Coturnix japonica: one gene and its partners. The protein of the gene in region 4 binds, or shares a complex with, the protein of the main gene of each other region. Links are inferred from orthologs where the notes say so. Each region holds a gene or a part of one and is shown on either strand. Other genes may lie near its edges.

Region 1 (7,558 bases), on a different chromosome or scaffold from region 4:
TGGCCCTATAAGGAAAGATAAAGAGCAGCGTATATTCAGAAGCAGCACGTGACTTCTAGAGGAAAAAAAAATAAAGTAGTTTTAGAAACTAATCTCTCATATCAGGCCAGCAGGGCTGCTAATTGGCATGACGTTTGGAGACTTAATTGAACTGGAAAATGAATTGAAACAAAGTATGTTGAAGGGGAAGACAGCGAAGTGAAAGATGCTACAGGGATTGTTAACGACTGTACTTGCTAAAGAACTTTAAGATTCTGGACTGCTACGGGAATGAAGTGCACCACTCACCTGAAGCAATAAATGACTTTGTTGCTTATATGGAAAATAACTTGATTTTTTTTAGTCTTTCTTAAAAAGAACGTGAATAAACAAACAAGAGCATTGGCTGTAGTACAACTAAATCCTGAGGCATTTCACTTCCTCATGCTGAATGAGTGGTCTGCATGGAGTTAATAGTCCTTTGTTTCCTTGAGGTGTTTAGTGTGTCATTTAAATAGTAGCATCCAAAGATGTGTAATTTCTTTTGTGAACCAAATTGCTGATAATGGAGATCTCCCTTTTAGTTATTAAGAAAAGTATACTTACCGGACTTCATCCAGTTATTGGGAAAACCAGTTGGGCAAATGGCTGGACATTAGAGAACATTTTAGACATGTTTTTTCTTCACAGAAGCTAGAAAGGAAAAAAAACCATCAAGCTTCAGAAGTCTCCTAAGGGTTAGGGGCAGCAAATTCAGCACCACCACCAACAAAAAAAAACCCACAAACTTTCTCACTTCTGAGTGAAGTAAAATGTCTCTTGTCTTTGTGGTGGTGATATACTTATCAAGAACAGTATGTATCATCTACTTCAGTGACCTGGGAAAGGCAACAAAATGGCATTCCATAGTGCTGTTCCATAGGTGATATTCCAAGTGGTTTTGGGGAGGAGAGAGTTATATTGTCACTTAATTAAGGCAGTTGTGTGTAACTTGCACTGTTTAGAGATTCAAATGCATTTTGGAAGATAAGAAAAACCTTCATGAGTCTTCTTTCAGCAAAAATTAAGAACAAAGGTGTCTTTTTGAGCATTTAATATGTAGGTGAGCTTTCCTGCAGCAAATCTTATTCTTCTTAGCTGCAGATTGGTAATGACAGGAGGGAATGTGGGCTATCCTACCACTCTAAGCACCAGCAAATGAAATTATTGTGGACTTGTACTGTTCTGAGAGCAGCTGTCTGAAAAGAAAAGTTGCTAAGTGTTGCATATTGTGACTCAAAAATTGTCATGTTTGGTCTCTATTAAATGGCAGAGAATTGAACTGCTGTGCAGTGGTCCTTTATTGACTTTTATAAGTTATTTTCATACAAAAAACAGACTTACTCTAAGCTTCCCACCTACCTCTGCCCTCACATAGCCAAAAGTGAATTTTTAGCATTGATAAGACAAGTGTTTGAGGATGTGGAAACTGTTTGCTGCTCTTACAATGAATCCACAGTATGCTACTCTAACAAAAATGGACATCAGTGTACTACACAGCAGGCAGACTGTGACTAACTCGAGGTACTTGTGTAGTACAGGTTAAATTCCTGCTTGGGGTCTAAAAATCTTTTCATGCAGGCAACTCCATACAGTTTTTGCAGTAATAGCAGTTCTAAAGTAGATTTATAGGCTGTTCTTTCATTTTCTTCTGAATCCCTTTCTACTGCCTTTCTTCCCCACAAGTTAAATATTCTTATGTAGAGCGTGAAGTCTTTCCTGTAATAAAATTTCAGTAGCCTAATAATCTTTGGAGGCAATTGTAATGATATGTTTACAAATGTATCTACTGGTGACTATATGTATTGGAAGGGTTATTTTCAAAGCCTTCTTTGCTTTGCTGCTGTTCCTATAAATTTTGCAGCCACTGTGTAAATAGTACTGATTTGTGATATCAGGTGCTAAGTGAAGCTGGTATAGATAGCCTAACAGCTAGCACTACGTAATGATGAGGCGATGTTAAGTGTCAGCTTGGGAAAGTCAAGAGTTTACAAACAGCAAATAGTGCTTTGGAAAGGCAACTGCTGTTGCTAATGCCAATAGGAAAGTTAGGTTGTAGAGAATGTGCTTTTATTTGAGATCTGATTGATTTTCTGCCCATCATCCCTGAACTTCCTTAAGGGTCTAACTTAAACCACTGAATTAGTGTATATGCAGTGATTGAATGTTATCTCTAAGCAAAGGAAGAAAACAAACTTCAGTGCTTGACTGTACTACATATAGGGTAATTCTCAAATTTAAGCAAGTGATACTCACCTGTTCAAGCTAGAATAAAGCTAGACATGCCAGTACCGTGTTGGTTTGCTTGGTGTTACTTGGGAATGTTATTACTGGAGATTTGTTTTTAAGATGTGTTGCATTTAGATTCATAGAAATTTTCATAATGTTAGGTCTGACCTCTTGGTCAGATTTCTGTTAGTGTATCAATTCTAACACTGACTGTTATACTTTTACCTCTTATTGTTTCCTTTTCCGTGGTTGAAACAGGCTAAAGGTTTTGAGGACACAGGTAACCTCAGATGCTGGGCAGTATTGATTTAAGATCGTTTTGTCTGTGTGATGTTTTTACCCTGCAAAGGCTTGTATTTTCACTAAAGGCTTCTCCTTTTCTCCTTGGTTTTTGATCTTTCTGGACTATAAGGCACATGCCACATGCTTTAGTGCATTTCTAGGGATTTAAGGCTTAATGTTTTTTAAATAGTACAAAATTATATTCCCACAGTTTACAAAGATCACAGTTGAAGTATCATGCACATCACTTGAAAGATAGATGTATCTACATAAAACCAAACTAAATTTCTGACTGTTTGCTTCTGTAAATGGTTATTATAGGTCTTATAGGGGCAGGTAGGTTTGCAGTGATTTCTGTACCTTTTCAGTATGTTATTTCAAACCATGTGTCAGCATTCAGGCAGTGAGTGTTAAATGGTTCCTTTTTGCATGTGGGATGCTTATACTCTTCTGTAAGAGGTAAGTTTCATTCCATGTGGTGTGATTGTTAAATATACATCTCTGAGAGGAAGTTGACTTATGTCTTTGGTTTTCATTGTGTTGAAAAAACAACTTGCAAAACAGAAATCCATCATTTGTATGTTCTTTGTTCCTACCCTCTTGAGGCAGTTAATGGAACAAGTTTTAAAGATGAGTAGAATGTCTTGTAGGGTTGGGCTGTGTACTTGGGTTGTTTTTTTTTCCTTATTTTCCTGTAGCTTCCTAGATATTTAAGGATACTCCTAGTTTTTATAAAGGGAACTGAAAAACCCTCAAATGGTCTGTTAAAAAGTGGAAGAGAAAATGAGTCTGTTTCAGAGGAAGCCTGGATACTTTTAACAAAGCACCCATTTGTAAGAACTTGAATTCTTGTATTTGTAGAATGACATTTTTACTGTTTAAACTTTCATTCAAATAGAAGGGTTATAGGAACACCTTGTTTTGTTCTTCAGCTTTGCCAGTCCTTGCAACCTCTTGAAGGGATTGTTTTGTTAAGTAGCAGCGTCTGTTCCCTCGGGAGGATGGAACATGAAGCAGTAGTAGTTCTATTGGACACAGGCGCTGCTTGATTTAAGCTCCTCTGAGATGGAACTGAATTCAACTGTTGATAGAGAAAGCTTTATCTTCCATCAAAGAGACTATTTAAGCTTCTGTGCAAGCATTTAAAATATGCTGAAGTTGAAAGTCTGGTATAACAAGTTCTTCCCAAATACTGATGTTTGGTTTTGTTTTCATTTTTTTTTTCAGCAGTTAACAAATGTTTTCATTTTCAGGGTGGATTGCAAGAAGTGGCTGAGCAGTTAGAGCTGGAAAGGATAGGACCACAGCATCAGGCAGGATCTGATTCTTTGCTCACAGGAATGGCCTTTTTCAAAATGAGAGAAGTAGGTGCACGTGTCTTGGTTTTGTCTCCATAGTAGTAATTTGCTGTAATAGATGGAATTGCTGATTCTGTTACGTCTGATGAATTTTATGGTGATCTCTAAGGGGCTTCAGAGGCCCCTGCTTTCTTGACAGACTTAAGACTGTGTTTTCCCCAGACTAAGTGTAAACCAGCCCTACTGTTTTCCCTGTTTAGCTACTGTGAGCATCACTGCTTGTTTTCATTGTATGGCTGGCTTTGTTGTTGTTGTTGTTTCTTTCTTTCCATTGCCTGTTTTGCAGGATTTCTTCTGCAAAGTGGCTGCTGGAGCCAGGCTCTTTTCTGGGTAACTGTATTCGGGCTGCTTTTCTGCAGAGCTTCTGCTGAGCTGTAATACCCAGCTGGTGTGCACTGCTGCCTGTGCCAGGCCTAGCAGCAGGGAATGAGCAGCTCTGCCTGCGCTGGCTGCTTCCAGCTAAAACTTGCGGGGTACATATGTATTAAACCTGTAGGCTGCTGCAGAGAACGATGCAATTGTTCATCCTGAGTTCACCTTTGGTAAAGCACAGACAAAATAACTCAGATTCTAAAACATGTCAGTCAATTTTGCAGAAAGGGAAATCAAGACTTGTAAGCTTTGTGTGTCCATGCTACTTGTCTGCATGCATTGGGAGAATATTAGGATATTTTGTATGAGCAGAATAAACAAATTCTAAACAGGCTTCTTGAAAGCAGTTACACTGGACAAATGCTGGGGCATCTGAATGTGACATTCTGCCAGGAATTTGGTGTCATTTAATAGTGGCGATAGCGAGCCTCATCTTTTTGTAGGGTTTAGTGTTGAATGCTGAGGCTTCTACTTGCTGTAACGTGGCCTTTTTTATAAAGGAAAAAAGCCGACTGTGAGTTTCTAACAACTGCTAGTGAAACAGCAGATGAAATATAAGTGCTGTGATGTAATCTGGCTTGCTCATCACAATGCTGTTCTCCTCTCCTGAAACTGTTGATGTTGTTGAGCTGGTCATGGGTTACGTAGAGGATGTTGCTTATGATGTGGTCCACCTGTGATCTTCACAGGTGCTGTTAACTGCAATCTTTTGTATTTGAACCAAAATCTAAAGCAAATAAAGGAAGGTATTTGATTATACCTAAGGTGCAAGGTGCTGACTTTCAAAACCCATGATCGCCATGTAACAAATTGCATGTTATTATTAAAGAGTTTGTTGTCTCAGAGAAAAGAAATGTAGCTTTTAGTACAAATCATTTGTTTAAATAAGCCAACAAAGATTGATTGTTTTTTCAGGGTTTCTTTTAAAATACAACATTTTGAAGTAAGAACATCCTAGTCAAGAGCAGCAAATATACTTAGAGTGCACTTCTAAAGCCTTTTCAGTTGAGTTCAATGTTTAGCAATGTACGCTGGAGTGAAAAACGTTGTTTCACAATGTTTTTAAACGTACAAAATAGTGCTGATAAGTGTTAATAATTGCTTTTGGAACTTCAACTTGCTGGTTCGAGTCCCAGCCAAAAAATTTGGATCTTTTTCTTCCCATCAGAGATGTGTTAATATTGATGCTGGAACAGCAAGCTGTGGTTTAGAGGTTTTCCTCTCTGCTTATTATTCCTGCAGTACAGAACCTGAAAGGTTCTATTGATAATTAAGACTTTTAAAGTCTTATGTAAATGTAGTCTTGGTTAAAAAAAAAAAAAAGCAGTTTCCTTTAATGTTGCTGCTCATTGTTAAATGAAGCCCTCTTAGAGGATGTAGCTGAGAAATGCAGGAAGATACATTTGCCGAACTCAGTAGTTTCTGTGCTTGAGCACGTACCTCCTCATTCTCACCTCACACCCACGTAGTATAAATCTGTTTTAAGACAAGGTGTGATGGAACCCCCACAACAATAAGCAGGTAAACTGTGGGCACTTGCAATGAATACCAAACATACATCTGCTGTGAGAAAGCAGAAAGAAATATGCCAGAGAAAATATTTTGTTGTGCTTTCAGAAAAGCAAGTAATAACGGAGGTAATACCAAACTGCCAAAACATGGTCGTTTTGGCAGGTGAGGTGCACAGGTGACTGTTTGTATTCCTTCCTTTAAACAATTGCACTGTATAGCACATTTTGATCATGTGTTGAGATTAAATGCATTGTTATGCTAATTCTGTCATTTGAATCTTGGGATGTGATATGCAGTGCTAAAACCAACAGTGTAATGTCTTTTAGCCTTTCTGTCATTCTGTTTAAACTGGGTGTTTTTGGTGGCATTAATTTGTGTCTTTTTCTTTTTAACACTTCAGATGTTCTTTGAAGATCACATTGACGATGCCAAATATTGTGGCCACTTGTATGGCCTTGGTTCGGGGTCATCTTATGTACAAAATGGCACGGGAAATGCTTATGAAGAAGAAGCCAACAAGCAGTCATGACACGAAATGAAAGGCCGTCTTTTTGAGCTCCACATGCTTGTACATACGTTTTATCTCTGGTTGAACCCCTTGGACAATAAGGCTTTTTTTCTCCCTTTCTCAGCACACTTTCTTTTCTGCCTTTCTATGTATTAAACCTGACTGTTCCTATCACAGATTTTGATCTTGATATTGATATGTAGAATTTTATGGGTTACTTTTGGAGTCATAACTAGCCCATTTGTAAAGAAGCTTGTGTAGGATCAGTGTGGCAGAGAGAAGGGGAAAGCTAAATCATTATGAATAGTATGGTAAACTTGCCTATATCGGTCTTTGGTCTTAGGTTTTTTGTCTCTTTCCCCTCCCTTCTCCAAATTAACTCATGCTGATTGTAACTAACTTCCCCGTTCATGTCTGTTCCTTCCAGTATGCAGGCGTTTTAGCTATTCAAGATTGTGGACCATCAAATTTGCACTTTAGAGAGCAACTCTGACTCAATCCTCTGTTTCATTTGAAGTTTTTTTTTTCCCTTCTGCCCTTAGCTAGGAAACAATAATCCTCCAAGTTCAGCAGCTTCACACTGTATTTTTGGCATCTTTTGGTATTTCAACCCATAGAACATGACATTTGCTGTATAACCTGCATTCGTTCAAGCAAAACAAACTACTGAAACCATAGTAACTGCTGTTGTTTTACTAGTGTTCTGCCATCAAACACGTCCTGCACATGCCAACTGCTGGTTGGCTGGCTGCTTTAGATCCGCTCTGTGAGGAGGGAAAGAAGCTTGAGAAGACAGCTTTAAACCCTTCAGGAAAAGAACAGCTGTGACTTTACCACCTTTGCCATTAAGCTGAGATTTGAAGGCTATTGGAATAGTAGGAATTTTGTAATGGCGCACTTCCCTTGATTAACTTTTATTCTAGTGACACATATACAACAAATATTTTTTTATGAAGTCGTATTTATTATGTAGGTGATTTGACAACTTTTGGAAGTCAGTTCAGTTCAAGATAAAACCCAAAGATCTGAAAAAAAACACAAAACAACCCTATTTAACTGAATTAGGACAACTAAATTGTGCTTTTTTGTAGTTGCTACAAAGACAGATGTTACAGATATTTGTTGTAAAACAACAAAATATAAATAACTTAGAACAAATAAAGTTACTTGAGGATTGTAATGCTAGTTTATTTTTGAGTATATCGTAGCAATATATTTTAGATATATTGTTTTAAAGGACCCTAAAATACGTTCTTATCTCTGCTTACCATGTGTACAG
Region 2 (6,876 bases), on a different chromosome or scaffold from region 4:
TAAGTCATTGTAATGCTATAACTTGATAGAAAGTACAGTAGTAATAATGGGGCGGCAAAGCCCTAGGCTGCAGCAAATGGGAAGCCCAAACACAGCAGCTGTAGATACAGAAACAAAGGGAAAAAAAAATCACTTACCTTTGGAAGGCTTCAGGTATGCAGGGATCTCCAGCAGAATCCCCTCGCTTCCACTGCCAACCCTTAAATGAGGTTTGGGAAGGGCTGGATCCTGGTTCCACCCCTTCCAATCACTCAGGAGCATTGTATACACCTGAGCTCTCCTGAGCTGGCCCTGCCTTCCACCAGGTGCTCCATCACTGCTTCAGGCTGGGACTCAGCATTTTTGCTAGTCATATACTATGGTTTTTTTATACAGAAGGATCAGTGACTTTCTTTGTGCCCCAGCTGCACTCTAGATTTGTAAGATAAAGGTGCTAGTAACATAAATATAAGCTGGCTGATATAGGTGGGCAGAATCACCCTCCATTTCCCTGAACTAATCCCACAGCAATTTTAATTGATAGAGAAAGTTAATACCTGGCATCAGGGTTGGATTCTTGCTTCAGGCATTACTTTCTCCATGCAGTTGGAGCACGCAGGTGAAGTCTCTGCATGAGACAACTCAATGGGATATCTTGTATGAATCTTTCCCATGTGTTCGAGGAGCAGTCCCTTGTTATGTACAGTAACTTCATATGCAGAAACAGTTTTGATAATGAAGTCACGAATGTCAGTTATAAAATGGCCTATATTAATTAGAAACTCTTCAAACACCACAGTGTGAGATTGTAAATCACATCTCTAGGCTGCATCATCCCTTCTCTTGTCTAGTCTATAAGTATTTATGGTGATAGTGCACAGAGGAGCCAACTTGGTTAAATGTGTGCTAATGTCCTGGAAGAAGAGGAAAAATCCCATCTCCCCAAATAGATGTTGTAAAGCAGTTTCTAGATGGAGCTGCTTGAACGTCTTGTAGTAAAACAATTCTAACTGAAAGAGTGGACTCACTCTTTGTTCTTTTTTTTGCATGCAGGTCTTTCCGTTCCCTGATGTGCTGGAGTGCTGCCTTGTACTCCTTCACCTTGGAGCCCAGTGTCCTCCTGAATTACACCAACAGGCATTGGATCTCCTTAGAAAACACGGTAGTGCTGACGTTTATGAAAAGGCTGTCAGGAAGTTCTTGACGTGACCTTTTGAGACCAGACACACCTCCTCTGAGCTGCTTGCAATCACTTAGCACCAGTTAACAACAAGACTGTTCTTTCTTCAAAGTGAAGGCTTGTTTCTACAGATACAGTTACTGATGACTACTGTTTTGGATAATATTACAAACAAATCAGGTTTATATCCACACATTCACGGTTATCAACTGCTACTTAATGAGATTACATTAGGAAATTGAAAAGTAGTAGATTGCAGCCTTGAAACTCTATACAGGAGTTTTATACGTCTTTTATTTGCTGGAAGTTATGCTAAGGAAATCTCTTGGAATTTACATGCAAAATAGTTTTGAGCAGCTGTCTTCCAGCAGAAGAGCACCAGCTGCCCTCTGAAGAAAATAATGGTTCCTTCAAGTAGTCTGACCTTTAAACCAGTGTTGTACTTAAGAAAAGTGTGAATTTATTTCCCCTTCTTTAAATAAAGTCTTCTACAAGCAGGAATGGGCATTTAGTAAGATGTCATTAAAAGTAATTATTTTTGTCACTGCTAATACAATAGAAATCGAACTTGCTGGATAAAGCAGGTGTTTGTTGCATACCATGACTCAGCTTTGTGTTTTTGTTTGTTAGCTTTTAAATACAGCGAGGGTAAATTTGAGGTAGTAACAAGTTCTCTCTTCTTCAAGTGTCAAAAGTGATCCTAGATCCCGCAGTCCTGAACTGTTCTGGCCATTCTTACAGCTTACTGGAGCTTTTTTCCATCGTAACATGATTTCTTTCTGAAAGAACAAGGCTGCAAAGAGCCTCAGCAACTTCTAGAAGCAAAATGACTCAACAGCAGCAGGTAAAAGGAGGGAGTTAGTTGTATCAAGAGATGCATTGACCCGTTGAGTTGTTCTCACTAACTTGGAATTGCTTGAACCAGGAGGGGGAGCTACTGCTTAACCAAACAGCTCTCCTATCGTTTAAGTGGGAATCGGTGAAGCTGAGGCAGGAAAATGTCACGCAGGACGCATCAGCAAAATAGATTTGTCATTTTAAGTGGCTAAGCTGCTTGCTGAGCTAACAGAAGGTTCTTCCACCACAGGGATTTTAAGCACAAGGTTATCGAAGAACAGTTGATAAAAGCAAATTTTAAGAACTATCTCAGTCATACATCATTAGTAAAAGAAACTTCAGCATCTTCCCTTTCTTGCATGCAGGTATCTCTTGAGTTCAGATTCCAAAGGCTGAGTTCCATCAAGTACTAAAATTCCCAAACGAGGCCTTGTTTAAAAAAAAATTTATTTTACAAAAATTAAAAACAGGTTCTATTTACAAGTATTTCAAATCCCAGCTCTAAACCCTCCTTCCTAATAATGAATTCTTTAAGCTTGTGTCAAATGCATGACCAAGTCAAAATTCTATGTTTGCCACATCCAAAACTTTTGCAGGTCTTTTTCTTGCTCAATAACGTCATTACAGAGCTGCTGGGGAAGAAAAAGTATTATAGAATGACTTGATCTTTAGAAGTCAGAATCCCACATTGTTCATCCATTCTCTAGCTCTGATTCAGATGTTTGTAATGACGGAGAGCTGTTTTGGAAGTTATTAAGCATGGAGTAAAAAGCAGGGAGAAGAGGAACAAGTTTATCCATGTTCTGAATTAACTGTGTCATAATGAGACTAAGATTTGTAGGTGAAGTTGAAGAAGACTGAAGTCAGAATATTGGTCCTGTCAAGAGGTTCTCAAGCAAAAGGCCCTCTTAATTTCTATCTAGAATTGTTTAACACCTGTAAGAACTAAGCCAAGGCTCAGTATGGGTCAAGCCTGTACCACAGAGAAATAGAAGCCATGAAGCTGACCAAATCAACTTGAGACTCGAGTAATATCCATTCCCACTGTTAAAGCAAATCTCCAAATAGTTTTAGCTGCAAGGATCGTTTTTAATGTTATCCTTTCTCAAACCTCTGCAGTGATCAAAGGGAGCATATTTTCCACAGACTACACAAAGATAAAATAAGCAAAAGATGAGGTGAAGCTGTCACCCTCACAACATGCAGAAGTTTTAAAATAAGCTTTCTAAAGCACAGTTTGAAAGTTCATGTGCACGTCTGTGTCTGACTTCACTGGATTTCCAGGTCCTTGTCTTAAAGGAATATTATTACATTGTTAAGTCTTCCTTGCAGATTCTGTACAGTATAAAGAGGAAAAAAACAGAGGTATACACAGTAGTTTCTGTCTTTTGCCCTTCGTATTAAAAAGATGGCAAATCACAAATGCTGGCATTAGGAATTGAGTCAACTCTGTCCAAGGTTTCAAATGAAGATGCAGCTCTTCAGCAAAACTGCAGCCTTCCAGAGATTGTGTACTGTGCCTTTGAGACAGCATTAGGGAAAATGGGTGAGGTGACAGCAGCTGCCAATATAGTAACCATATTCTGCTGAGGACTACCACCTATCATGGCTGCATGTTGTTGATAATAGCCAAAATGCTCATTTTCTCCTGGGCTGAGTCCACATCTTCATTTTGTTTCTGAGCCACTCCTGTGCCAAGGCCATACAGCCGCCCACAATACTTTGCATCATCAATTGTATCCTCAAAAAACAGCTGCGGAGAAGAGGGAAAAAAAAAGGAAATTATTTAATTGTTCCTCTAAACTGGAAAGCACCTAACCTTAATGAAAGAGCTTGTCTGAAGTCAGCACCTCTAGGATTCAGCATAGGCAGTAAGACAAAGATTAGATTCTATACCAGTATACACAATTCTTATTACTGACCATTTTGAAGTGTGGTGATACTCACATAGCCAAAAAGAAAAGCAACACCAAAAACACATGGTTTGTATTGATGCTGATGGATAGAGACGAGAGAAAGGAGGACCAAAAAGAACACTGCATTACCTCTTTCATTCTGAAGAATGCCATTCCTGTGAGAAGAGAGTCTGATCCTGCCTGGTGTTGTCTTCCAATTCGCTGCAAATCCAGTTGATCTGCCACTTCTTGAAGGCCACCCTGCAATGGAAACAGTCAAGTTTATTTTCTATGTCCTACCATAAGTGCCACACTGCTCCAGAACACAACTGTTAAATATATTATATGCAGATTCCAGCAACATAGTGAGCTATGAGTGAAATACAATGATAAATATTGTTCAAGAACGCAGAAATACTCTACTCAAATTTAGGTACCTTGCTTTCCTGCTGCAGACGCATGAGATGACTGTGGGTACATTCACAGGTTACAAATGCTGCACCCTTTCCTGAACCAAGGCTGTGATTCAGTACATAAATAATTTTCAACCCTCTGAGTGCCTAGCAATTAATAGTTCACGTATGACAAAAGTGTTCCACTCTGTGCAGGTGAAAAAAAGTAATAAGATAGACACAATTATGTCAACATTCCCTACATAATAAACATATTGACAAGCTTCTAACTGGGGATGTAGTACTTATTAGATACAAACTTAGCCTTAAGTGTCTGTGACTACTGGATTTTATACTCCAATTCTGAGAGACAATAGTTCTGTCATTTGGCTTCCTGCATATCTGTAGGGATGTTGCCCATCCAGCCCTCGTTTGCATCAAAGATGAAAGTTACCTTGAGGTTTTTGCAGCTCTTCATTAAGTATTTGACATCATAGATTGATGGGAAGAAAAGGTTCAAGATATGGAAAAATTCATGTTCCTCTTCAGGTAACCTGGAATCTGTCAACAGCTTCACCATGTAGCCGAAGTCATAACCACTGAAAACAAACATAGAGAAACCTGATAAACAACACCTGTACTCAGCTGGTATCAGTGTTACATTCGTCTCATTAGGGTGTTTTTCTATACTTACAACCTTCTTTTCCATAGAGGAAGATAACAGCAAAACACGCACAAAATACAGATCACAGAAGGTGCTGAGATAAAATGAAGTACCAGTACTTAAAGTTCGCCTTTACAATTTAAAACTTATATTAAGAACTGCACAGCTGCTAAAATCCATCTCCTTAAGGTCTGTTAGTCTCTATGGTCCAAAGCAGCACTATTTAAGCCAAAAAGAGGCATCTTGTTCTGTAGTACCAGTAATCACCTCAGACCTACCTGTGAAACGACAGCCATTTCACGCTGTCACTAAGGACGACCCCTGAAGTCATGAGCAACTCAGCAAAATGCAGGGTATCAATCCCTTCTTCTTCATGCTTCTGGAACTGCAGCCCAGAGCTTGCAAGGAGGTCTATGGAATCCTGAGAGTACATATCCTCCCTGAAGGAGAAAAGCAGAGCTTTGCAGTCAGGGTGCTAACAAGGAAGGCTCATTGCCAAAAGATTTCTCACAAGTTGCATTTTGGAAAATCAGAGTGACCTGCAGGCAATCCATCTCTGAGCTCCATGGCTGTGTCTCTAGGAAGCTCAAATCACTTTTAATACCATTACTCCTATGCATTTAACAAGCTATTCTGCAATCTTAACCAAATATTAATTCTGTCGCTATTGCCAAACCTGAAGAATGCCATAAAACCTTCACACAACAGACATCTTGAAAAGTAACACTGAGGGAACAGAAGTGCCACAGATGATGGGAGAGAAGTCAACAAAACTCATATCAAACACGATAACTTTGAGTCACAGTGTCAATAAAACTCAAACCAAACATGATAACTTTGAGTCAAATAGCGTTCAGTGTCAAAACCTCTTTGTTATGACTCCAATGCTTTTAGGAGGCTGACAGTTGTGCAAGTAAACACTGCCACTTCTGTTTGCAAGAACTGCATGATCAGCTTATAGTAAGTATATAGTAAGTATACATGCATTTAATTGATTACATAAAATATATGGAAATGTATAAAAAGCACGTAAAGTTTGAGATCATAACATCATTCCAGAAATACTGCAATGCCTGTCATGCCGGCATTGAGCCTCACATAATCTCTTCTGGTGTTGCTCCCTAATGCAGAAGACTCACGTGAGGTTGAATTTGAAGTTAAACTGCCAGGTGTTGATCCCAGAAGGATACTCTCCTTTCTCGTTTGTGAAAGTCAGGCCCAGTTGGATGATTTTCAGAAGGTCCACATTACAGCGAAGAAGCTGATACTGATAGTCTATGGAACTGCGGAATTCCCCAATCGGCCTTACAACAACCCCAGGAAACTCCGTGTCCTAGAAAAGGAAGAGGAAACCTTATGGCTGCAAATCAAGGCAGACCCTAACGACAAAGCAAGCAATTTGTGCTCTCAAGTCAAATGACATCAATTGACTCAGAACACACAAAAACTTTCATAGAGGATCCAGCACATGAGAGAATTTTTGCCTTCACATCTTCCTGTACCCACTGCCTCAGCACAGCAATTACAACAGGCCAGAATGAGATGATATTGAAGCAAGGCAGCTCGTTTCCAATCAACATACAATATGAAATATGTAGATACACATTTACTGTTTACTTACACAACTTTGTTCTGCGCTGAATTCTATGCGCTCTGAAGGCACGTGTATTTTTACATCATGCTTTCATTACAAATTTCTCTCCTATCTTTGAGTTTAGCATCCCCACTCAAAGCTGTCATAACCACCACAGAATCATCGACTCTGGAAAAGATCTCTGGGTCCAACTATCGTTAGCCCCTATTCCTTGAATAAGACAAATGAGTCAAGCATTTACCATTGCGATGTAGCTGTAACTCAGCACAATCTCTCGGATTTTCCTCATCTCCTCCTCCAGGTTGTTGGCCCACACCTCACAGATCACCTGGCTG
Region 3 (8,164 bases), on a different chromosome or scaffold from region 4:
CTTTTCCCCTTAAACTGTGTAACACAGGAAGTTTTTGTGAGTTAAGGATTGGGGTTTGGAATCCTGTTGAAATGAAGGCTCTTCTATCAATCTGAGCCTTGAAGTGGACACTGAACTTTCACAAGCTTTAGGCCAACCTTCTCTACAGGAAAGTAAAGAACCCAGAATGTAGAGTGATTTCTTCATGGTTTTCCTTCCTTGACCACATTGATTTTTGGAGAATTCTAACTGGATGCACAGATTTCTCCTGGATGAAACCAGAAAGGGGAAAAGTTGTGGAATTCTATTTTTTAAAAAGTGTTATTTATCCTAGCAAAGTCTGAGAATGTAACACAATTCAGGTGATCCCAAGACAAACCCATTAACGGAAAAAGATTGTGAAGCTATCATGAAAGCCAAATGGAATGAAAACACATAACAGTACCACAAGCAAGCAGAATCAGAGTAGATAAAAATGAAGCAGAGGAGTTAGGTGATGCCACAGGGGAATTAATTACCAGGTGCTGCATGCTGAGAGGAGACAGTAAGAACACCTTTGCCAAAGGGGAATCAGAGAAATGTATTGAGGCTGTGGTGGCACCCGTTCTCTAACTGCCTCCAACTCCATTGATCTATTTCCCCATGGTATCCTGGCTCCCAGGAGCTCTGCACCCCCTGCTCCCATCACACACCCCAGGGATGGTGAAGCCCCATCTGCCTCAGCTCATCTCCCAGGCCCTACTTCCACATTTCACTGTGACCAATGCTGTCATGAGTGGTAAGTGTTGCTGGGAAGATTTTCTGCCTCTTTTTGTGTCTGTTAAAAAAGGTGTCAGAAGGGTTTACTTGAGGTGTTTGTCTTGCACAGCTGCTGTGGCTGCAGGGTGAATCCACCACTCCTCCCCCACAGCACCACCACTGCAAGTTCCAGCGTCAGTGAGGAGCAGGATCAGAAATAACAGCAGCAGTGAGAAAAGTCAGCTGGCTTCCACCTGCGAGGACACTGGAGTCTGGTGTGGCACAGACCTGCGTGAGGCAGATCCAAGCAGAACATGCTGCTTCCCAGCAGTTCCATGGCTGGGGATGTGATGTCTGGTGTGAGGGCTTTGCCCCATGGAAATCCAGGATGTACTGGGTCATTTTGCTCCTTACCCAAACCAACCTGTGTGAGTGTGCCAGGAGTGCGAAGGACCTCAGAACAGCTTTTTACAGCCATCAGCCTGCTCCTGTGGCTCTAAGTGAGTTGCTAAAGCAGACACAGCCCATGCTGGTTCATTTACTGCTTGCAGACAGAGTAAAAATGGCAACAGTCTGCAATGCACCATCATTTTCCAGGAAAATATATTCCATGGCACTCTGAAGGCACAAATACTGCACTGAAATGAGGTATATTTTATTGCCTTTGGTGGACAGATTCAGAAAAAGAGGATTACTAGACTGAGACTAATAATTGCATTCAATGTACTTACATTTACACTAGTTTACATTTTAAATAAGAACTCCATCTGTATGGGGAAATGCAGTCCTGGAACATGCCTTGTTTTATTGCATAGTGCCACCTACGGGTTGGACTCTTCTAAGGTTTAGAGGGGCAAGAGATAGGAAGCCCTATTAGTAGCAGGGTAGGTGTTAACCTAATCGCCTGTGATTTGGAAAGCAGCGGGAAAAATAAAGTACTGCCAAGATTTCCATATTGTAGTATCTGGCCATAGAACTGTAGTTTTTACAGTTTCCTTTGGAGCTGGCTCTACTCTTCCCTTTCTTAGCAGCCTGGCAGTGATGGGGTTGTTGTAAATCCCTGTTTTCTCCCCTATGATCTGGGTTTTGCTCGTTTGTGATCAGCAGGGAGGTTATCTGCAGCAAGGCAGGGGACGGGATTGCTGTCTTGATGGTTTTGAGAACGCAAGGACTAAAAAGAAAGCATTGAATTAATTGTGATGATTTATTTCTTGAAAAACTAAAACTCCAAAACAGGAGTTTTAGAAGATGACTTTTATTTCTAACACACTTTTTATTCTCTCAAAGGACATTTGAATTTATTCTGTATCTCCTTCAGCAGGTGGCGTACCTGCCTCTCTGGAACCAGATGCATGTTCTTCTGTCTGCTCACTTGCCACGATTCTCAGGCAGAATAATGCAAACCATACATATGTGTACTCAAGAACCTCTTTCCCTCGTCCTTGGAGGAAGGTATTGATGTTATTGCTGAATTTATTTTTCAAGGACAAATGTCAATTACATTTTTGATCGCATGACCACACACTTGGACCACACAAAGGGTGTGTGTCTCTTCATTGTCTCTCACACACATAACCATAAGATTTAATCAGTAATAAGAAGGAGGAAAAGATATTCTATTCTAACCAAGAAAATGTTTAATCCCCTAGAAAGGATAAACATTTTCATTTTGGAAATATATGACAAAAGATTGTTGTAAGTATCCCTCGGGTAAACAAGCCCTGCAGTACATTGATGGCATGAGGGATGAAACAAACTACCATGACTGTCCTCCTGATGTCACGATGGAGAAGAGATGCAAAGCTGGGTACCAGTGCTGCCATACTTCAGGCTGAATTCGCTCTGACAGGACTGTCAAAGCAAAAGTACAACAGGGAGCAGTAAATTCACAGTGGTGCCTCTCTGTGTTAGTGCAAAATGCTCTGTGACTATCGGGCTGCTGTTCTGGCACTGGCAACAGACACTGTACCCAACCTGAGAGAGGCGGCTGCCTCTCTCCACATCAGACATACCTGAGCATTCAGGAGCAGGCATTCAGAGCAGGGAGGTTATGTGCATGTTGAATTCTTTCTAACTTTGTAACTTTGTTGTTAAACAAAGTATCACCTTTCCTTACAAACCTTCCCCTGCATTGTGTCAAAGTAGCATTAGGGAAAACAGAGTAGCTGGATGCCTGTGCCAGAAATAGTACAGCCAGCAGGAGCAGGGAGGTGATGGGATGATCCCTCTGTGCTCGGCACTGGTGAGTACCTCAAGTACTGTGTTTGGTTTGGGGTCCCTCACTGCAAGGACATTTACGAAGATGATCAGGGGGCTGGAGCACCTCCCTTATGAGGACAGGCTGAGGGAGTTGGGTTTGTTCAGCCTAGAGAAGAGAAGGTTGCGGGGTGACCTCATTGCAGCCTTTCAATACCTGAAGGGAACTTACTCCCAGGAGGGGAGTAAACTCTTCGAAAGGGCTGACAATAGCAGGACACAGGGAAATGGTTTTAAGTTAAAAGAGTGAAGATTTAGGTTGGATGTTAGGGGAAAGTTCTTCACTAGGAGAGTGGTTAGGCCCTGGAACAGGCTGCCCAGGGAGGTTGTGGATGCCCCGTCCTTGGAGGTGTTCAAGGCCAGGTTGGACAGGGCCCTGGGCAACTTGATCTAGTAAATGTGTATGTCTGGTGGCCCTGCCAGGCAGGGGGGTTGGAACTACATGATCCTTGAGGTCCCTTCCAACCCGGGTCATTCTGTGATTCTGTGATTCTGTGTGATCTGTGATATTGAGGCCCTATAGTGTGTCCAGAGATGGGTAGTGAAGCTGTGAGGGGTCTGGAGCACAAGTCTTATGGGGAGCGGCTGAGGGAGCTGGGACTGTTCAGTCTGGAGGAGGCTCAGGGGAGACCTTATCACTCTCTACAGCTGCCTGAAAGGAGCTGTGGTGAGGTGGGGGTCAGCCTCTTTTCACCGGTAACAGTGATGGGATGGGAGGGAATGGCCTCAAATTATGGCACTGAGGGATGTGGTCACTGGGCATAGTGGGGATGTGCTGGTGGCTGGAATATGTGATCTTAGCCATCTGTCCAACGTTAACGATTTCATGATTCTACGATTCTAAGAAGGCTGGCAGACCAGCCTCACTCCGCGCAATGCCAACAACATGGCGGCCGGGGGGACGCAGCCAGGTTGCGAGGCGCATGAGCACGGCGCCCCTTCCGGGGGGAGGGGGGGAGCGCAGCGGCGTCGTGACGTCAGACGCGGTCCCCAGCAACGGCCGCACGTCGGTGGGCGCCGGCAACCCGGAAGCGGCGGGTAATAGGGACGGAGCGGCGCGTAGGGACCGGAGGGAAAGTAGTGCCACAGCGGCCCGGTGTTTGGTGGAGGAGCAGGGGAACGTCTCGTCTCGCGTGGCAACGGTGGCAGAGATGGCGGCGGACAAGACTGCGGGTGAGCGGGGGAACGGCCGTGGGCCCGGGCGGAGGGATACGCTCTGGTAACTGGTACGGAAAGGCCTGGAGGCTATGGCCGCTGGAGGTGCAGCTAACAGGTGTGAGATCTCGGCCTTCAGCTTGTAACCATAAAAGTGACTTTGCAGGAGAGCTTTGTTTAAAACACTTGTTCGTTTTTGTCTTTCTACATGTGATGTAGAGGCATAGTGAAGTCTGTAGAGCTGCCCTGATGCTTCCCTAGGAAATACACCATGTAGCTGTGTAAGTGGCACGTTTCCTGGGCAGCTAACAGTGTCTTTCATTTATTGTTTGCTTACCTAAAGATGTGTCACATCAAGGTTCAGACCTCTGTGAGCACCATATTGCTTGTTTTACCTGCTTACCAGACAAAGGCGGTACCCAGTGCTGCGGCTTTGCCTGGCCCTACCGAGAGCTAAACCTGTGTATGTGGGGAGCTCCTGGTCAGGCTGAGCATTAGAAACGTCCCAAGGTTTCGATTCTCACATATCTGCATTGTTGTTGCTTATGCTGGTGTAACCTTGAGGCCTGGGGAGCAAGTAAAGCAGATAACCTATCTGTTAGCATGATGGTGGGAGGGAAAATGCATTTATTTCTTCATTGCTGTTAAAAAAGGTCCTTGAAAGTCAGTGGGTTCTCTACCACAAATATTAAGGAGTCAGATCTATTACGTGGTTAGTATGAGGAGAGATGCTTCTTGTTCCTTTCCTCTCTGTCTGTGAGAAAACTGTGGCACATCAAAGCTTTTTGAACTTTTCTGATGTTTGTTTTCTCTCTCCTTATGGAAAAGGTTCCACTGGTGAATGCATTATCACAGAATGACCCGGGTTGGAAGGGACCTTAAGGATCATGTAGTTCCAACCCCCTGCCTGGCAGGGCCACCAAACATACACATTTACTAGATCAGGTTGCCCAGGGCCCCGTCCAACCTGGTCTTGAACACCTCCAAGGACGGGGCATCCACAACCTCCCTGGGCAGCCTGTTCCAGGGCCTAACCACTCTCCTAGTAAAGAACTTCCCCCTAACATCCAACCTAAATCTTCCCTCTTTTAACTTCAAACCATTTCCCTGTGTCCTGCTATTGTCAGCCCTTTCGAAGAGTTTACTCCCCTCCTGGGAGTAAGTTCCCTTCAGGTACTGAAAGGCTGCAATGAGGTCACCCCGCAACCTTCTCTTTTCTAGGCTGAACAAACCCAACTCCCTCAGCCTGTCCTCATAGGGGAGGTGCTCCAGCCCCCTGATCATCTTCGTGGCCCTCCTCTGGACCCTTTCCAAAATCTCCATGTCTTTTTTGTACTGAGGGCTCCACACCTGGACACAGTACTCCAGATGGGGCCTCACAAGAGCAGAGTAGAGAGGGACAATCACCTCCCTGCCCCTGCTGACCACCCCAATTATGTGCAGTCAGATTTCACAGTAGGTGTGTGTAGTTCTGTAGCACCCTCAGAGTCCATCCCTCCCAAGTACTAGAATTGCTGTACCCTGAGTTTTGTCCATTTCGCAGCCCATTGCTTTGTGACTCGCTGGTGAAAGATGGTTGAGTTTTAACATCTCAACTTCATGGGCATCATGATGCAGGGTGGAAGCCTCAGCAAGCAACAAATAGATTCTTGCTGAAATGTATGATTGTGTAGGATGGTGGAAAGTGTTTCCCTGCAGCAAATGCAACCCAGGAACTGAATGGTGACTGTGTTTTGATCCTGCCATGGATATTACATCGGGAATGTCCCTAGGCCTGGTTATTATTGTTGTCCATCCTCGTAAATAAACTTCAAGTGTTTGTAGCCAGTGAGTAGTGGATGATTCAGGTGTGTTGGTGCTTATGGGGAGTGTATTTTGTAGTGGAGATCGTAGAGGAATGTTCTCATTTGTTTGGTGTGAAAACAAAGTTAGCAGAGTTTGCATTACATCCTTTCTTTCTAGGAAAAGACAGACATTGAATATACAGTGCCCACCAAACCCATTAACATGGCAAAATACGGGCTCAAGCAAAAGCCTTGTTGTGGAATTGAAGAATTAATTATCTGCAGCAGTGGAAGCCATGGCAGGTGTATAATCTTTGTTTCAAAAACACTACGTGAACATGTGAGTTGAGGTTTCTAGATACAAGCTGGTCTGGTGTGGCACTGGTTGTTCTGGTTTTCCCTCCAGTAGTTTTGAATTTTATTGCAAAGAAATTGAAGACAATTAAAACCATGTTAGATTACTGTACAACTGCTCAAACCATCACAAATAAAACCTTACATGCTGGACTGGTCTTCATCTAGAAGGGAACATAGCAAAACTATAGTTGCAGCATTTTCTTAATGCTGTTCCCTACAAGCTGGCAGGAGGATCCTGAGAACGGGCACAAACAATGTTTTTTGAGCTGAATTACTTCTGTTGTGTTTACAAACTTTTCTATCATCCTTTGTCAGACCAAGGTGCTGAGAAGCACGATGGAGCTGGTACTTCAGGAATCACTGATCAGGAGAAGGAGTTGTCGAGCAGTGCATTACAAGCTTTTCTGGTAAGACACAGCCAAGCCCAAGCTTCTCTTCTACCACATAACTGCTAAACTGGTTGATAGAATTTTTTGTTCCCCAGTTTTCTTAGCATGGCGGAGAATGTATTAGCAAGTTATTATACTAAAATCAATGCTTGTATTACAAAGCCAGTGCGTACATTTCCATAGAATCATAGAATCGTATCATAGAATGGCTTGGGTTGGATGGCACCTCAAGGTGAGCATAATATTCTTGAATAATTCATTCAGCAACATAAATTAAGGCTCTCTTGGGAAAGTTAGGAAAGGTGTGTAACCTTCCTCTTCTGCCGGCCTGTGTTAAGCAGACATCCAGGGGCTAAACTGGAACTCAGTCTGAAGATGAAGTGAGAGACAAACATAAAAAGGTGGGCCACGAGTTAGACAGGCAGCTGCTCAGTGTACGTGTGATGGAGACAGATTGTGGAAACTGAGGAAATAAAGAATCTTGAAGCTTGATATAATGACGCCAAAAGAACAACAGTTTTTGTAGAAACATGTTTGTAATAGTTAACTGTTCTATTTGTTCTTTCTCCATTGAATTCTTGTTCAGTTTTAGTTAGGACCTCAGCTTTGACTTGCTTCTCATACATTTCAGTCTGCATGACAAATGGAGTTGGTGTGGAGCTGTTTACTTGTGTTGGTCAGGGAAATCCTACATTGCTCTCTAGACTCAGAGAGAGGAGGAGGCTGCCATTAAAAATTATTGACTTATTAGAGGATACAAAGTTTAAACTAATCCCTTTGTGATGCCTGCTGTTTCCAGGCGGGAAATTATGATGCCTGTTTGCAACACCTGAACACCCTTCAAGACATAAACAAAGATGACTACAAAATAACTTTGAATACTGCAGTTGCAGAGTTTTGTAAAAGTAACCAGACCACAACAGACAATTTGAGACAAACCCTGAACCAGCTGAAGAACCAGGTAATGCAACCACTGCATGATATTTAAGCATTGTTAATGGGGATGGGATCTTCCAGTGAAATAGGAAGACAAGTTTTGCCTCTTCCCTTTGTTAACTTGTAACTGTTACTGCCCTATCTTTAGGCTCATTAGTACCTTTGGATTATTTTTCTATAATAAACATTTGATGCTTTAACATCATAAGTTTGGAAAGCTTAAGGATAAACAAGATTCAGTTCTGTGTGTTTTGGGTTTTTTTTCAGGTTCACTCTGCTGTTGAAGAAATGGATGGTTTAGATGATGTTGAAAATAGTATGCTTTACTACAATCAAGCTGTTATTTTGTATCATCTGCGTCAGTATACTGAAGCTATATCAGTTGGAGAGAAGCTGTACCAGTTTATAGAGCCTTTCGGTGTGTAGGCAGAAGAGTTTTGTTTGTGCAGTAACGAGGCAGAGTAAATGATCTTCCTCTGCTTATCAGAAAAGTGACTTGTAAACGTACATAATAGTAATAAAAAAAAGACAGGCTTAGGAATGATGAGTAATCTTTACTTATAAGGACAG
Region 4 (7,558 bases):
TACATGGGTGAGGAGAGCAACAGGGCTCTATAAGGATGTCACAAGGCCACAGGGATGCCAAACCCCTCAGCTGAGGCTTCCGTGCTGTGACATCGGCAGCACCCCTTGGTAGGCAGCCACCAACAAGCCAATACCAAAGCACCGTGAGCCTACAGCACTGTTACATGAGAACACTGATCTCTTTCTAATTAAAGTCAGGTGAAGAGTAATTCCCTGGGAAAAATCCCAACTAAAACAACTGACCAAAAGGATCACTTCAAGGTCTCTAAAAACGCTGCCCTGTTGTGTTTATCCTCTGTAATGTTTGAAATATTCCTTCTCCCATTTCCTATCCAATTCCATAAGCTACTTTGCATTCCTAACTGAACAGACACAACTTCAAGTCAAGTGACGTACAGTGATTATTCTACAGCAGACTTGTACTTGGCCTTTCAGAAGTATTACAAGCCACTGCTCTAAAGCAATAACAACAGATGGCAGAGCACTGTTTTTGTTATTTTATGCTATGGGAAAACAAACAAACCTTTAATACACTTTCCCCACAGAATCTTGAAACTAGAATAAAGTACTTTTTCTGCATTAATGTCAGGTTTAAAGAATCTGCTGAATAAAAGCGCAGAGTTGCTCTCTAAGGGCAACACTTCCGTTCAACAACTGTATTCGAAGTATTTCTAACCTTATCCAATCAAAACCAAAATCTCTCTATTGAACTGCGAGATCAGCATAAATTAAGAGTAAACTCACCTGTTCCATTAAAAATGTTACTTGATAAGGAGTTATTCATTCCAAACGCCTGATTTCTGTTCATCCCAAATCCAGACATACTGTGAAAAAAATCCAAGAAGTCAGAGAAAAGAGAATAGAGACTTTCATAATTTCCAGTTGAAGGCATCAAGGAAAAAAAGCCAAAGGCACTTAAATTATGTCATCTTATGCAATCCACTTTAGCCTAAACTCAATTTTTTATCACTTTCCCTCATACCTTTGAAAATTCCGAACAGCAACAAGCACTGCTGAATGAAGACAACTGAAATGACTTTGAAATAACCTGCTTTTTAAAAATTATTATTATTTTTTAAACAGACACAAGTTCTTTGACATCTGTCAGCCAACAAGTTATGATAAATGTGCATTTTACTTGGTAATTTCATACATAAAAATGAAATAATAGTAAAGACAATAGAAAAAAGTCAGATTAGAGAGCATTCGTTTGAGGGTGGAAGCTGAATCATTGATGGGATCAAGTTTGTCGTGACTCAGTTAAAAGCTGGAAAGTTATTGTATGCAACCATCACAACATACAGTATCTGCCATACAAGGATACCAGTTAAAGTATCATACAGACAAGTAAATATACTTGAAGATATCTAAGAATTAGATAGGAGTGCTGTGGTCTGACAAACACCTAAATGATTTGTGCATGTTCATTTGTTTTTAAAATAACTAGAATTAACTAGACCAAGAATTCCAGTGATAAGAAAGGTTTTAGGCTACCAGATGCGTATTTCCTTACACTTACTTGTAAACTGTTTGTTAACCTGTGTTACCTCAGCTTTCGTCATGTTTTACTGATGTAACCAAGAAAGACAAAGTTAAGTATTTTGTGTGTTCAAAGATCTGAAGTCATTCTTTGCTCCAAGAAAAGGAACAATTCTCAAAACAATTCATGGAAGTCACATAATTCATGTACCTCTCAAGGAAATAAAAACTTTTTTTTCAAATGTCATGTCATCATTTCATTAAATATAGTCAATTAACAACTGGACATGTACTATACTTTTGTAGGCTAATAAAACATGAAGTAAGAACTTGGCATTGTTCTAGTAATATGTCCTTCTCAGCTTGTAAAAACTGTACCATCATTAACATGAGCTATACAGTGCAAACAGCAAAAGAAGAGTTTTCATTCAAACGCTCCTACAGAATGGAATTTCATTATCTCTGCCCTACAGCTGGATGTTGTTTAAACAAGTACTTCCTATACATCAACCTCCAAAATCATTATTCTCTGCACGTAGATTTTTTTTATCCATGCTGAAGTTTTACAAACACTTAAAATTATAAAATAATGTTTTAAAATTATTAGCTTCTTTGCCTGCTGGCACAACACAGGAAAGAAAAGGCCAAGACACAACGGCCGCTCTTTAAGAAATGCCTCCTATTTTACTGTGTTATCCCACAACATCAGAAGCAGATGTTGGTGGTATGGCAGTGGGGGCTGAACCATCCCACCAATATTCTGTTACATGTTGTTGCTGTGTGACAGAAGGCAGCAGAGGGGCAGTCTGACACAATGGCACCTGAGATGGAAGCACGGATAAGCAAAGGTGTGGAAGTGAATTCCTCCATCTGGAATAAATGGCTTCCATTGGAACTTACTGAATGTTTACGGAGACCAAACAGTGGGTGTGAGCACACTGAGGCAGTGAGTGGGTCACCTCAGCTGGTGCAGATTTTGACAAGCATGGCATGCAAGGTCTTGCTCATCATGGGCAAATATGCATAGCTAACAGCAGTGACTATGTTGAAAAATGGTGTTTCGTAGCTGAGAATTTGCTCCATCAAATTCTCTGTTGTTATAGTTGTTATAGTCTCTATATCTGTTGTAGTTTCCATGGAAATAAAATAGGAGGCATTACTTTCAGAGTGGTCTCTGACCAAAGTCTTCTCATACTCCAAGAACACAAATTACTATTATCAAACCTCTATTGCTGTGATGAAGAAAGAGGTTACTTATGCCTACATCATAATGCAAAGATACAGAATTAAGAAGACTGATCAAGTTTCAGATAACTGGCATCCATTTTTTTTCATTTGATTAGTAAAAATACTACACTGGGTTAGAGGTAGCATTTGATTGCCAGGAGTGTATTTGAGCTCAGTCCCCTAGCCTAGGGCATGAAGCGAGAAAGAGGAATGACCTGGGAACACAGGGATCATGAGGCTCCGGAAAGAAGTCTGGAAAACAGTCAGCTGCATGAAGCTGATTACACACTATGTAATTGGAATTGACACACATTTTATTACAAGGTTATCAATATAAACTAAGCATAAACATATCAACAAGACAGGTAAAGCACAATGATTTCTGATGCCACAATCTTGCCCAGAGTTAGAAAAAAAGAGCAGAAGTAACTGAGAAAATTCTGGCATCAAAACAAGCACCTTGGATGAGTTGCAAACCACTGCTTTCCATATTATTCCAGAATTTAAAGTAAAATATGAGGTCTCCATTGTGTCCAAATCAGTTAACTATTCTTACAGAACCACAATTTGAAACAGTTATTCTGGATTATCTCTTGACTAAATTCTTCCCAAACTCATAGATGGAGAGTTTTCAAGAAGATGTATACATACAAAAAACAAAGTCTGTTTCAAAAATAAACTTGGGAACATACTAGAAACATCACATACTTTAAAGAAGGAATAGTAGAAATTAAGTAGTCAGAAACAGAATTTAGCTGAAAGGCTTCAAAAATGGCTGCACAACTACTGACAGCAGCTTGGAAAGTTAGCGTTGAGAGACCGGAAGACGCAAAGCAACACTTTCAAGTTTTATTCTAATGGATAAAAAAATAGACTTTGAAAGCAGATCTTAAGCACGCCCATGGCTGCACAGGCATGGTCTGACCAAACAGCCTTACCTGTTCACAGTAAAAGGTTGTCGAGAGGGTTGCTGCTTTGGCATACATATTATGCTTGGAGAGCTTCTGTTGGGGCTGCCTAACCCTGAACTGCTCATGCTGTTTGTCCTGCTGGGAATTCCAATGCCCTGACCAACCTGGGAGTGGTTCATCATATTCCTAGGATTCATAGGCAATATCCCCCTGAAAGAGAAAAACCATCCACAGAGATGAATCTGTACAATAGTATTTGGTTACTCATTTAAATTACTCATGTAGGATACACTTAAGAGTTGTAGCAACTTAATTTGTGCTTAGACTCAACACTGTATGTTTGGAGTACTCTCTATAATTAACGTAGTTTTGGATTTCTTCAGAAACACCAGATGACCCATTGCGTACCAATCAAGTCCTCGGTCAGGTTCAGATAAATACTTAAGTACTATGCTTTTGAAGAGGCGTTACAACTCTTATTTAAAGAGCACTTCAGACCTACTACCTTAATATTTTCATACTGTAATACAGCCATATAAAAACATTTACCATTTGTTTACCAGAACAACTGAAAAACAGACTCTTACATTCTGAAGCAGAATTTGCCAACAACTTTACATCCTTTACATACAAAATCAAACACTGTCTTAAGTTAAGTCTTATCCTACCGTTTTACGGTATTACTTACCTAACACAGGCAGTGGTCAATAAAAAATTACTGTTTTTCTTTTTTAATTAATCAGTCTAAAAGTAGCTGTGGCACGATACGCAGAACATTTAGTAAGTGCTCTGCCGAAAGACACAATTGCAGAAACATTGGCTATCAATAAATACCTGCTCGGAGATGGAGGCGTGTGAAGTGACATTGTTGGTACCCCTGTTGTTGGCGTTACGTGGCTCGGTAACTGAGTGCCTTGTGATAAGCTGCGATTTAACTGAGGGGTATTGTTGCTCATTCCCCTCATTGGAAGGCCTAGTGCACCTATTGAAAAAAAATTCAGAGGGGTGGAGATACATAGCGATCCGGAACAAAGTCTTAGCCATCAGGTGTGGATGGAAACAACTTATGCTGACAACCTCAAAAAGTGTAAAGACTGTAGGAAAGTGCAGCGTAATATGAAGTCCTTGCTTGCGTACTACAAGCCCAGTTACCTCACACATAGCCCCATTCTTGTCAAACTCGAGAAAGGCTCTTTAAGTCACTAACAAGATTTTGTTTCCTTTGAGATGTACTCTGAATAGAAGAGGGGGAGCTGTGGTTTTGTTGACGAGGACATCTACATGGAAATCCACATATTTAAAAAGTCGGTGTTCTGAGAAAATAAACATCTCCACTGAAGAACGAGGTTATTGCAATTGAATAAATGGATACATATTTGGCCAGCATCTAGAACGTCCATCTAGCTTGTCAAAAAATACGCAAACCTATAACTAAGAAAAAATAAAACTAGGAATATTTCATAACATGGCTTTCAGAGCATCGGAATGAATATTTTAGGACACTTCTCTATAAAGTCTGAGTTGCTTCTTTTTGTTAAGGCAATTACAGTGTCCAAAGTCAGGTTAAACTTAATTTTTTGAGGACTGAAAGCAAGTAGAATTTAAGCATCCTCAACTAGGAATTAAAAGCACACAGGGCTGGTTTGGGGGCTTGCTTGTTTTGTTTTTTTTTACATTGTCATAAAAATTATTTTCTATGCAAGCATTTGGGTGCTGTGAAATTACGAAAGTACTTTATTAACGCGCGATAAAAAGAAACCATCTCAGTTCAGAAGAACAAAAAACAACCAGTCTCAAAACGTCAGAATACTTTACAGAGCTTCTGATCGTTTCCACGTTCCTTTTCTGTATTCATGAAGTTTTAAAATTATGTCCAAAGACAAGAGAAAGCCATTTAGTGCAGCAGATCAACAGAAACATGCTTGCATCTAAAACGCGATAGCTATAAATAACAGTCCTATCGCTTTGGTGTGAGGCTGCTGAGGAAGCCTCAGAGAATTTAAAACCTTATCTTGCAGACAAAAGGAAGAAAAATTAAGACGAATCAGCACTCTCCAATGATAAATCACCCCTACAGCAGAGCTGAATATGCCAGCGTATGACATGATGAAATACTAAGAACGCAAAGAATAGACACAGCATACGCTCCAGTTATTGCTATGGACGAGGTCCGAAGAAACCTCCCAGTTGCTCAGCTCTCACTCTTGCAGAAGCTCTGCCTGCCCCAATGTTCTCCCTCAACAAGTCTGCAACGAGCGATTTGGATAACACTCCACTTTATCAATTGAGATTAAGGAGCGTGACTCACTATAAGAAGCCTCCTAAGACTTCATTAATTGCTGATTATATCAAGGTGTTCGCTGTAAATATTTTGGCAATTTGCTGCATCAGAATAATTTCAATGAGCATAAATATATATTATAAATAATATTTCACATTAATTAACAACTAGGTGGAATTTAAAAAAATAAAATGGTAAGGAAAAAAAAACACCCATGCTCTTCTAGAGATGGTACACTGAAATAAAAGTGATTACTGTATTCAGGTTGATTTTGTGCAAGCATTTGTTCCAACACAGTCAGTTTTTCACTAATAGCATTTCTTCTAGTTGTTGCTTTTCTTTAATTAGAATTTTTAATGAGTAGTTCTGCTCCTGTATTCCTGCGGCTGGCAAGTAAGGGCAGTTGAAATATTTGCCATTACAAAGAAATCCCAAATGAACAACAACAACAACAAACCAACCAAAAGCATCCAAAGAAACCTTCTCTTATGCCTTCTTTTTCCATACTTTTCATTTACACTGAGACAAGACATCTGTCAACTGATTAAGTGGTTATTTTTTAATGCCTACAAATTAAGTTTAACTTAATTCTTTAAAATGACATTTTGCTAAATGATGGACAGCTATCTATCTAAAAGTACCTGGACAGAAGCTTTGTCCCTCCCAGAATGTTTTAATCATAAGAATTTACACAAATGCAGCAGTTTCTCCATATTTGGAACCCTGAAAATAGTTACTCCTGAATTTTCAGCAGCACAAGTCTGTATGCTCAAGAGATTGTGTCCAAAACATGACAAACAACTGGACTGAACAACAAAGTTGATGAAAAAAATATTCACCCCTAAAAATAATCAGCTACTTCAGTATCTTATGCAGCTGAGCCTGAAAGGTTCAGCAGTGTCAGATTAGGGACCCAAAAATCTAAACCTGACTCTTGGACTGGCCAGAAAGTCCCAGCAGGGCAATCAAATACCCACTGGTATGACAGAGACACTCATCAACAGCCACAGGGATAGTAAAAAATAAAAGTAAACAAATCACTAGACGTTTTAAACTGTGTGAAGGAAGCCTAAATAAGCTATGAAGGCCATGCACTTGGGAGACAAAGCTTTTAGTGTGTCCAAATTAAAACATCCACACTCTAAAATATTCTTAAGACATCTTTCCTTAGTGCCTGAGTCAGATGGACTTGGCTAGAAAGCTGCAAACACTCAAAAGCATGGAGTATTGAAAGATGTTCACAAACCTGTTTTACTTGTGAAACTCTATGTAACTCAGGTGCTCTGAGTCACTATCTACATGTGCCCCTCTTAACTACAGGGAGGTTCAGCTCTTCACTCCAGCACTTACATCAGGTCTAGCATTGCACAGTGTTACTGTTTCTCAGTATGTCTTCATTAGCAACAGTATACACAAGACTGGCAGATGCAAGGGAAAAAAAAAAAAAAATCTTCAAGAGATAGAACAAAACAAACAGTGGACAGGCAGGAAACAATCTTCCTGGCATACTTCTTTGCCAAATATGAGTTGCCAAGCATATGGGCAAGATTTAATCCGCTCCTATAAGCCATGAAGTACAATTTCCTTCTAGCCCTTAGATGTTTTTCTGAAGGAGGTTTGGTTTGACCCAGCTCACCTTACTTAGCTTTTCTTCAATTAA

What was found.
Region 1: CNOT2 (region 4) and CNOT7 share a complex: the UniProt entries of both Homo sapiens proteins name them as parts of the CCR4-NOT complex. The link is inferred for Coturnix japonica from reciprocal best matches to the Homo sapiens genes CNOT2 and CNOT7.
Region 2: CNOT2 (region 4) and CNOT8 share a complex: the UniProt entries of both Homo sapiens proteins name them as parts of the CCR4-NOT complex. The link is inferred for Coturnix japonica from reciprocal best matches to the Homo sapiens genes CNOT2 and CNOT8.
Region 3: CNOT2 (region 4) and CNOT10 share a complex: the UniProt entries of both Homo sapiens proteins name them as parts of the CCR4-NOT complex. The link is inferred for Coturnix japonica from reciprocal best matches to the Homo sapiens genes CNOT2 and CNOT10.

What each region holds. Positions count from the first base shown.
Region 1 is NC_029519.1:56,946,718-56,954,275, forward strand, and holds part of CNOT7 (CCR4-NOT transcription complex subunit 7), read left to right. Parts: intron 1-3,782; coding exon 3,783-3,893; intron 3,894-6,171; coding exon 6,172-6,300; 3' UTR 6,301-7,558. UniProt on the Homo sapiens protein: Has 3'-5' poly(A) exoribonuclease activity for synthetic poly(A) RNA substrate. Its function seems to be partially redundant with that of CNOT8.
Region 2 is NC_029528.1:6,000,010-6,006,885, reverse strand, and holds the end of CNOT8 (CCR4-NOT transcription complex subunit 8), read right to left. Parts: coding exon 6,783-6,876; intron 6,281-6,782; coding exon 6,087-6,280; intron 5,388-6,086; coding exon 5,226-5,387; intron 4,883-5,225; coding exon 4,738-4,882; intron 4,153-4,737; coding exon 4,042-4,152; intron 3,750-4,041; coding exon 3,600-3,749; 3' UTR 2,425-3,599; downstream 1-2,424. Other genes in the region: GEMIN5 (gem-associated protein 5), read left to right, coding at 1,033-1,188. UniProt on the Homo sapiens protein: Has 3'-5' poly(A) exoribonuclease activity for synthetic poly(A) RNA substrate. Its function seems to be partially redundant with that of CNOT7.
Region 3 is NC_029517.1:37,316,597-37,324,760, forward strand, and holds the start of CNOT10 (CCR4-NOT transcription complex subunit 10), read left to right. Parts: upstream 1-3,944; 5' UTR 3,945-4,124; coding exon 4,125-4,146; intron 4,147-6,584; coding exon 6,585-6,676; intron 6,677-7,457; coding exon 7,458-7,619; intron 7,620-7,861; coding exon 7,862-8,012; intron 8,013-8,164. UniProt on the Homo sapiens protein: Component of the CCR4-NOT complex which is one of the major cellular mRNA deadenylases and is linked to various cellular processes including bulk mRNA degradation, miRNA-mediated repression, translational repression during translational initiation and general transcription regulation.
Region 4 is NC_029516.1:32,448,429-32,455,986, reverse strand, and holds part of CNOT2 (CCR4-NOT transcription complex subunit 2), read right to left. Parts: intron 4,600-7,558; coding exon 4,452-4,599; intron 3,828-4,451; coding exon 3,645-3,827; intron 825-3,644; coding exon 745-824; intron 1-744. UniProt on the Homo sapiens protein: Component of the CCR4-NOT complex which is one of the major cellular mRNA deadenylases and is linked to various cellular processes including bulk mRNA degradation, miRNA-mediated repression, translational repression during translational initiation and general transcription regulation.